Linked DNA regions of Canis lupus familiaris. The main gene of each other region encodes a partner of the protein of the gene in region 2 in a complex. Links are inferred from orthologs where the notes say so. Each region holds a gene or a part of one and is shown on either strand. Other genes may lie near its edges. The genes, in order: CACNA1E and CACNA2D1.

Region 1 (4,264 bases), on a different chromosome or scaffold from region 2:
ACACAGCAATGGGGCCTACCTCAATCACAGCCTATCGTGTTGCATGGTCAGAACTGATGCTTTTCCTGTTTCTCCCATGAGGAGGATGTGGACTGAATCCAGCGCATTGCAGTGTACCCCGTGCCTGGCACAGTGCCTGGCACATGGTAAGCTCTCAGTATTGACTGAATGAGTGTGTCTTTCACAGGGAAATCTGGCCACATCCTCCTTGGCATGGAAAAGGAAATGAGGCTCAAGGACGCTAGCAGAGGCACCTGATTCCACACTTGTTTCCCAGATCCTGCGCTGGATGCATGCATTAGGAAAGGAGGAAGGGGCCTATACAGGGGTCCCAGTTCTCAAAGATAGGCAGCCTGTGGCTGATCCTGGGGAGAGAGTGCGAGAATCAGGGCAGCAGGTGGTGGGTGGCATTTCTCCAGAGGAGTCAGGACACTGAGGAATGGGTAAGATTCTTTCACCCGAATGGGAGAAAACTGGGAGAGAACAGCCAGCTAAGGTGTCTGCGGCTGGGGCCCAGAAAGATAGCCTTTGGAGTTCTCCTCTCCTTGTAGCGGTACCCGGGGCCATTCATGACGTTGCATCTAATCATTTGTTTAACCTCTGTCTTCTGCACTGGACTGTGAAGTTCATGGGGCAAAAATCAAGTCTATTTTACCTAACTTACCTCTGGATACTCAGCACTTGGCGCTCAGCCTGGTCCACAGCGGATGCTCCTGAGCTCAGCGATCATTTGCGGGGTGCCTGCTGTGAGCCAGCTTCTGGGCCGGACCTGGGACCTGGGACCTGGGACGGAGCTGTGGGGCAGCCCCAAGCTTTGACGTCATTAACCTCTTGCTTTTCTCTCTTTCTCTCGTGCTCCCCTCCCCCACCCCGCGCAGAGCAATGTTCTGGGATGGTGCCCGAGATGCGTGGACCGAGCCCAGGCCGCAGGCTGCCCGAGCCCGCCCCCTGCCCCGCCGCGGCCGGGAGCCCTGAGCCCTGGGCCGCGGGCCGCCGCCGCCACGTCCTGGCCCTGCCTGAGGAGGAGGCATGGAGGCCCCAGCAGTGCTCCCTGCTCGAGGCCGACGCCTCGGACGAGGTGGGCATGCTGCCGGCCTCCCCGCGCGCCGCCGCCTCCGGCGTCGACAACTTCTTCCCGGTGCAGGAGGGCGAGGGCGCGGGCTGGGAGGGCGGTGCGGCCCTGGACGCCGGCGCCGGCCCCTTCCTCCCGGTGAGCCCCGAGGTGATGAAGCGGCGGCGCGGGGGCCTCATCGAGCAGCGCGACATCATCAAGGCCCACGAGGCGCACAAGATGCAGAGCACCCCACAGGCGCGGCGCAAGGAGTGGGAGTGAGTACGGGAAGGCGGCCCGCGGGCGCCCGGGGCGGGGAGGGTGGCCCGGGGGTCGGTGCCTTTGTCGCTGCTGCCGCTCAAGAGGCGCTTGACCCCTCGAACGAGGCCCCTGCGGTGAGCCGGGACCTCGCCAACCAGCTGTAGGCTGCGTCCCACCGCCCTGAGGCCTACCTCCATCAAAAGGCCGCAACCCGCCTTCCCCTCCAAAGCATCCGTAGTTTACTAAGACCTGGGGAAGGAGCTGTGGTCTGTCTGTTCCACACTCTGAGCCTCCCTGGAAAGAGGGGTTCTGTAAAACCATGGAGAAGCCACCAAAACACGAATCATCAGCCTCATCTTAATTCTGGAATTGTAGCTAAACGTACGCTTGCTAATGTCATCCTTGGGGTGATGATTACATTTTGGGGGCAAGTCTTCAGTGGTGGAAGAGCTCATGGCCCCCATAGCTTTATGTCTGATCCTTTAGGGTAGAGCAATCTGTCTTAGACTGCCTTTAACTCAATTCACGCCTATGGAGAAGTTGCGCCTTATTCCAGTGTCCTACGTTAAAGGAAGAGCATATTGCATCTGATTCTCATTTGGTGCTCCACGTGTATACCCCACCTAGGGGCTTTGTTTCATATTTTTGGATGTCAGTGTATGTTCTGCATGTTTGCATGTCTTGTGGTCTGTATGTCTTTAGGTTGTTGAGTTGTTGGATGTCATTAAGTGCAAAAAGACTAATAATAGATGTTTTTTTTATGGCGGTGGTTATGGTAGAGTTTACCTCTCTGGCCTCATTAGACATTCTGGGTGGTGCAAAGTGGGGTGGATTAGCTGATCTCTGGAGGTCTTTTCCTATGGATGTCACAATGTTTACTGGTTCGTCATCCATCCATTCATTCATTCATTCATTCAGCGGGCCCTGATGTGTGCCAGGCTCCTGGGATTCAGAGAGGAGTCAGGCATCTGGCAATCAACCTTCTCTCCTGTTGTTCGTGTCCAAGTACTGTTAGTCTTTAAAATCCTACATAGCTCTAAAAGCCAGGCAACATCCTAAGCACCCATATTAACTTATGTTAATCCTTAACAGAAGTTATGAGGTAGATACAGTTATTATCCAGATTTAACCAGTGAGGCACAGAGAAGATAGGTGACTTTCCCAAAGTCATTCCAATAATAACTATGTTGTTACTGTGATTTGATGATTTGGACTCTGGCAGTCTGGTTCTAGAATCCATGCTTCTATTCACAATGGCACAGTGCCTTTCTTTCCAATTCTCACAGTACTTAAAGTCTATCTCAACCACCAATTGAGATGCCATGACAAGAGCACTGGCTTAGAGGTTGAGACATTTGGGTCTAATTCCCAGGGTGATCTAAATAGTGGTATGATGTTGAATCTAGTTAGTGGTATGACATTGAATAAGTCACCTCATGGCTTCAAAAAATGAGGAGGTGTCCATTTGAATATCACATGGCTCCGATAGTATTTCTTTGTATTCAGAAGTACTGTATTTCTCTGCACCTCCGTCTTGTTTTCCTGAGAGGATTCTGAACAACTCCAGGCCAGAGACTATCTTACACATTTTTCGTGTCACTCAGTGCCTGTCATATGGCCTAACTCAAGAATTCCTACAACACTCACTGAAAAACTAGCTTCACCATGACAAGCAATGCATACGTAACTCTTTATCTTTCTCTAAGTTAAACTTTTGCTAGTTGGGAGGTATAAAAGTCTAGTAGCAGCGACCTACTAGGAGTCATGGTGGGGTTGGTTGAGAGACTATGCTTTCACCTAGGAAGGTCCACGAGGAGGTGAAACAGAGCAGATACATCAGTGGCTGGGTGGTGGGGGAGGGGTTGTCAGCTTTCCTGAGTGTGGTTGTGGAAGAATTAAGGAGGAGATACCAGGGAAGTAGGAAGAAAGCCATAGTGTGGGGTACCTGGGTGGCTCAGTTGGTTAAGCATCTGCCTTTGGCTCAGGTCATGATTTCAGGGTCCTGGGATCGAGCCCATGTCTGGCTCCTTGCTCAGCAGAAAGTTGTTTCTCCCTCTGCCTCTCCCTCCACTCATGGTGTGCTCTCTCTCTCTCTCTCTCTCTCTCTAATAAATAATTAAGATCTTAAAAAAGAGAAAGCCAGAGAGTGAAGAGACAAAGAAGTAAAGAGAAGGTATCTGTTCAGAAGGAAGGAGTCATCTTCTATAGAAGAGGTTTTTGAGAGGTCAAATAAAATGAGGATGGAGAAGGGATCACTGATTTCAGCAATATGGAGGTGACCTTAAAGGTTGCAGTTCAGTAGGATTATGGGGCCAGGCCCCAATTGGAATGGGTGAAGAGAAAATGAGAGGTGATAGAGACAATGCTGCCCCACTGCCTGCCTCTTAATGCTCACAGCCTTATCACTGCAGCCCTTATGGAGACCTCCATGGTTAATAACGTCATGCCTTTTTCCTTGCCCATCTAAACTCCATCCTCATATGGCTCTACATGCCTTAATCAGACCCACTTCCTGCTCCTTGCTAGCTCCCAAACCCTAATATTTTACTGTCTGGAACTCTTGTTCCATCATCAGAAAAATCCTCTACGTTTTTCTAACCTTCTCGGACATTCCCTTCATGTCCTTGGTACCGTGCATCTCCCCCAAGAGCATGGCTTGATCGGCAGCTGCCTTATATGGTAGCCGCCTTCCCTCCCAAACTTCCTCACACTCTTGAGCCTGAAGCTGGGGTAGGTGTCTCCTCATTATTGCTTCTGGACCATTATTCCTCATGCCTGTTCTAAAATAGCAACTTTGGAGCTTATGGCATCATGCAATAGCACCTGCTGCTTCTTTTTGTAGCTATCTGCAGACTCCTAGGCCAGTCCTCTTTATTCCAGAAGACTTTAGCTCTTGGTTTATTGCCTGTCTCCCATCTCTCCTCTTGCCATCAGTCTTAGTGATTTTCATAT
Region 2 (3,813 bases):
CTATTTTTTTTTTTCTGGGGGAAAAACATGTAAAAAATGGGGCTTTCTGTTGTGACACTGGTATTTATGTGTTAATTGACTCAGGTTTTCTAAATCTCCTAGTAATCCTGAATATGTGATTGCCTTGATTCTATTTACTGGCCAGAATCTACCTCTTTCTCATCACTTTTTTTTTTCTTTTAAACTAAGTTCAGTTCCAGATGATTCTATACTATTCTATAGTATTTGGCTCAATTGTCATTTACTATAAAGCAGAAATGTACCATATGCCCTATGTATATTATAGTTGATGAATGTCACATTATGTATTTACAAGTATATTCTATATTGTCAAGTAAATAGTTTAAAAACCCACAGCACAAAATTGTTTTTGTTTGATCTTTTGTTGTTTTCCACCTTGGAGTTTTAAAACTAAAACAAGGAGCAATCCTGAATGTGAAACTTATGCTGTGAAATACAATTACCACTCCTCCATGATCACATTTGTTATGAGGCCTCTTTACACCTAAGCACCTCTTTCTTGGTCCTGAACATTTCTGACTTCATCACTTCTTTCACAGAAACAAATCTACAGTGTTTTGAATTTAGAAGCATCATGTGCTGAAATGGACCTAATTATATAAAATAAAACTGCTCCTTAACTTTCTATTGTCAGATTATCAATTTTTTCCAAACAGATGAAAAGAAATGTATGTGTACATACAAAATTATTCAGTTTTTTAATTGTACAGCTTATAAAGGAAATATTTATATTTTTATCAATAATTATTCATATTTACAACTTAGGTCTATTCTACAGCAGTTTCTCCTGAGTTTGACCTTTCCACGACTTCTTGAAGCAGGTATGTGAACACTCAGCTGTTTTTATAATTAAAATTTTGTTTTGGGATGTACTGAGTTCATCCAACTCAGAGAAAGTATATGTATTTGTGTATATGAGAGAGAGAGAGAGAGAGAGAGCGCCCATCCATTCAATAGTTTCAAAGATTGGAATCTTTTTGTCATGACTTTCCTAATGCTTTGACAATTTTTTTCTTTTTTAATGTCATTGGCCTCTATTTTGTAACCTCCTATTTATTTTTTTCTCTTGATATTTATTGGGCACTATTAGGGGCTGCCCCTAGATTACCCAGCGATAAATAAGCCCCACAGGGTGCCTGCCCTTATACACTTGGTGTGCTGAGAAATGAAGGCTCTGGGCACTGACTATAGTGTCCCCTCCTGGTGACCTGCGTCCTTTTTTTTTTTTTTTTTTTCCACAGTTGAGATGGAAGAAGAGGACTTTACAGCCTCTCTGTCAAAGCAGAGTTGCATTACCGAACAAACCCAGTATTTCTTCGATAATGATAGTAAATCATTCAGTGGTGTGTTAGACTGTGGAAACTGCTCCAGGTAATCTGTGTCTTCCTTTTAGGAAGAATCCTTTGTCACTAAGAAATTGGATTCGCTTTTATAATCATTACAGAGAGTAATGGAGATTGTTGTTCCAGATCTTTAGTTTCACTGTAGGCTTTAAAAATTTACATTTTTTAGACTTTATCCTGTCTGGATAAGTTGTAATCCTTTCAACTATCAATAATAGGATCAGGAAAATTGTACCTACTTTTAGCCAAAACATAAAGAAATCTGGTAATATAATACATTTTTGTCTAAAAGAATCCCTTAGGGGATCCCTGGGTGGCTCAGCGGTTTAGTGCCTCCCTTTGGCCCAGGATGTGATCCTGGAGACCGGGGATCAAGTCCCACGTCCGGGCTCCCTGCATGGAGCCTGCTTCTCCCTCTGCCTGCGTCTCTGCTTCTCCCCCCGCTCCCCCCGGTCTATCATAAATAAATAAATCTTTAAAAAAATAAATAAAAAATAAAAGAATCCCTTAAAAATTTTTGCTAAGGTCATAGAATTTTATGAACTATAATAAACTTAGAATTAATTATAGTACTTCTATGTAATTCTAAGCCAAATATATGATTTCTATTTACATTTATTTACTAAATAGGTTTAAGAAAGATATTCTGGGGGTGAGGAGTTTTATTTCAACCTTTCACTGAAATTTACAATTGGATGTATCTGAATTGAAATCAAGAACTAGGGATCCCTGGGTGGTGCAGCGGTTTGGTGCCTGCCTTTGGCCCAGGGCGCGATGCTGGAGACCTGGGATCGAATCCCACATCGGGCTCCCAGTGCATGGAGCCTGCTTCTCCCTCTGCCTGTGTCTCTGCCTCTCTCTCTCTGTGACTATCATAAAAAAAATAAATAAATAAAAAATAAAAAAATTAAAAAAAAGAAATCAAGAACTAAGAGAAAATATTACTTCCTAAAAATTATTAGTAGGCATAAAACATCTTGAACAGTTTTTTAAAGAGATTGAGAATTCAGTTTCATTGTGGGGGATAGAAGATAAAGGCAAGGTGGGATTTTTTTAAAGTTTTGAGAGAGACTGATCCTCCCTGTCACAGGATCCCTGATAATGGAGCAGAGAGGCACAGATTTGGGACAACTGTTTCTAGCAACCGAGGGCAGGTTATTCTAGAAGCAGTGTTAACTTAGAAAAGAGGAAATAGGAGGAGGTAAGGTCATCTGAGCATGTGAAAGGGCTGGAATAGTTGCTAAGCGATCTAGACATTTCTAACAGAGAAATGTTTTGCAGAAGCAGTTAGCTGAAACTAGCATGAATTTTTAACCAATATGGTCGGTCAGTAGGACTTTTCTGATTTACTTTAGCACACCTCTGTGTCCTAGGAGGTGGTTGGGGTAGGAAGAGAAGAGTCAGGCATCAACTCAGAAAAAGCATTGCATCTTGTGTAGAACTTAGACTATGAGGCTATCAACTTTAGGGAGCAGAATCGTAACACCTGTGATGGTATCTCAAAACTTCAGAATCCTTTGGCCTTTGACTAATAGGTGTCGGTAACAGCAATCTGTGCTTTAAAAACTAAATAACATTGCAGCGTACCGATTTGTAATCAGGATATGAAGCTCAGTCACGGTGGCTTTTGATTCACTTCATCCTTGTGCCCCAGGTTCAGTGGAGAAAAAGGAAATTCAATTTTTTGGGGAAAATGTATACTCATAAAGAAGTGACTCTCTAATGACAGACTAACATTTTTATTTTAAGAAGCCACTTAAGACATGGAAGAAGAAGAAAAAAAAACAAACACTCAATGGAATTGAAAGCCCTTCAAAGCCCTGTCTCTGTGTCGTCCAGGTTAGAAGTTACAGCCCCGAGAAGCTATTTCAATGATCAGTTATAATTAATATTACATTTTATGCCTGAGTCCCATTAGTCACCTTTCAGGAGCTTGGTAGCCTCAGGAGGCTGCTGTTAACCATGCTGGGCAAAACAGAAAACCTTTCCATCTCTACGACGTTGGTCAACAGCACTGATCTATATTTACTCTGCTCTTAGGCAGGATGCTTAGACTCTTCAGGCTTCTAATATTTTCATCTGTAGAATAAGATAATTTTTCAGTAATAAGTACCACACTTCCTTAAGCATATCAAATCAAACATTTATTCTAGGAGTTTCAGCAACTCAGTCATACTTATTTTGCATTGAGGACTAACACTTAAATTTTCTAGTATTTGGGAGAGGTAACGTGCATGCTGATGAGTCAAACATGGTCATGTTTCTCTTCTAAAATTCATTCTCATTTTGTTTTACTATTTATATTGGTGATGTTTTGTGTTTCAAGAGGTCAGATTTTTTTCTTTCATTTTAATATGTAAAATTGGAGGATTTTTGTTTCTTTCCCCCCCAAAAGAGAATGTCCATTTTCTCTCATTTTTAAAAATATTTGTTTTGCAGAATCTTTCAC

The links.
Region 1: the proteins of CACNA2D1 (region 2) and CACNA1E are in contact, whole or in part, in a cryo-EM structure (PDB 8EPM), measured with the Homo sapiens proteins. The link is inferred for Canis lupus familiaris from reciprocal best matches to the Homo sapiens genes CACNA2D1 and CACNA1E. Residues at the interface, in NP_001353796.1 of Homo sapiens: Thr170, Asp171, Tyr173, Ile233, Leu235, Ser261, Gly262, Ser263, Ser265, Gly266, Leu267, Lys270, Ala327, Lys328, Gly329, Ile330, Thr331, Glu366, Gln391, Asn393, Tyr394, Ile416, Gly417; in NP_001192222.1 of Homo sapiens: Gln110, Leu112, Pro113, Glu114, Asp115, Asp116, Lys117, Pro119, Arg122, Asn630, Phe631, Asn632, Asp633, Gly634, Ile1330, Gly1331, Asn1332, Val1334, His1336, Met1341, Val1343, Arg1346, Arg1393, Ser1394.

What each region holds. Positions count from the first base shown.
Region 1 is NC_049228.1:14,761,330-14,765,593, forward strand, and holds the start of CACNA1E (voltage-dependent R-type calcium channel subunit alpha-1E), read left to right. Parts: upstream 1-1,191; 5' UTR 1,192-1,225; coding exon 1,226-1,329; intron 1,330-4,264. UniProt on the Homo sapiens protein: Voltage-sensitive calcium channels (VSCC) mediate the entry of calcium ions into excitable cells.
Region 2 is NC_049239.1:21,857,260-21,861,072, reverse strand, and holds part of CACNA2D1 (voltage-dependent calcium channel subunit alpha-2/delta-1), read left to right. Parts: intron 1-786; coding exon 787-842; intron 843-1,262; coding exon 1,263-1,392; intron 1,393-3,803; coding exon 3,804-3,813. UniProt on the Homo sapiens protein: The alpha-2/delta subunit of voltage-dependent calcium channels regulates calcium current density and activation/inactivation kinetics of the calcium channel. Plays an important role in excitation-contraction coupling.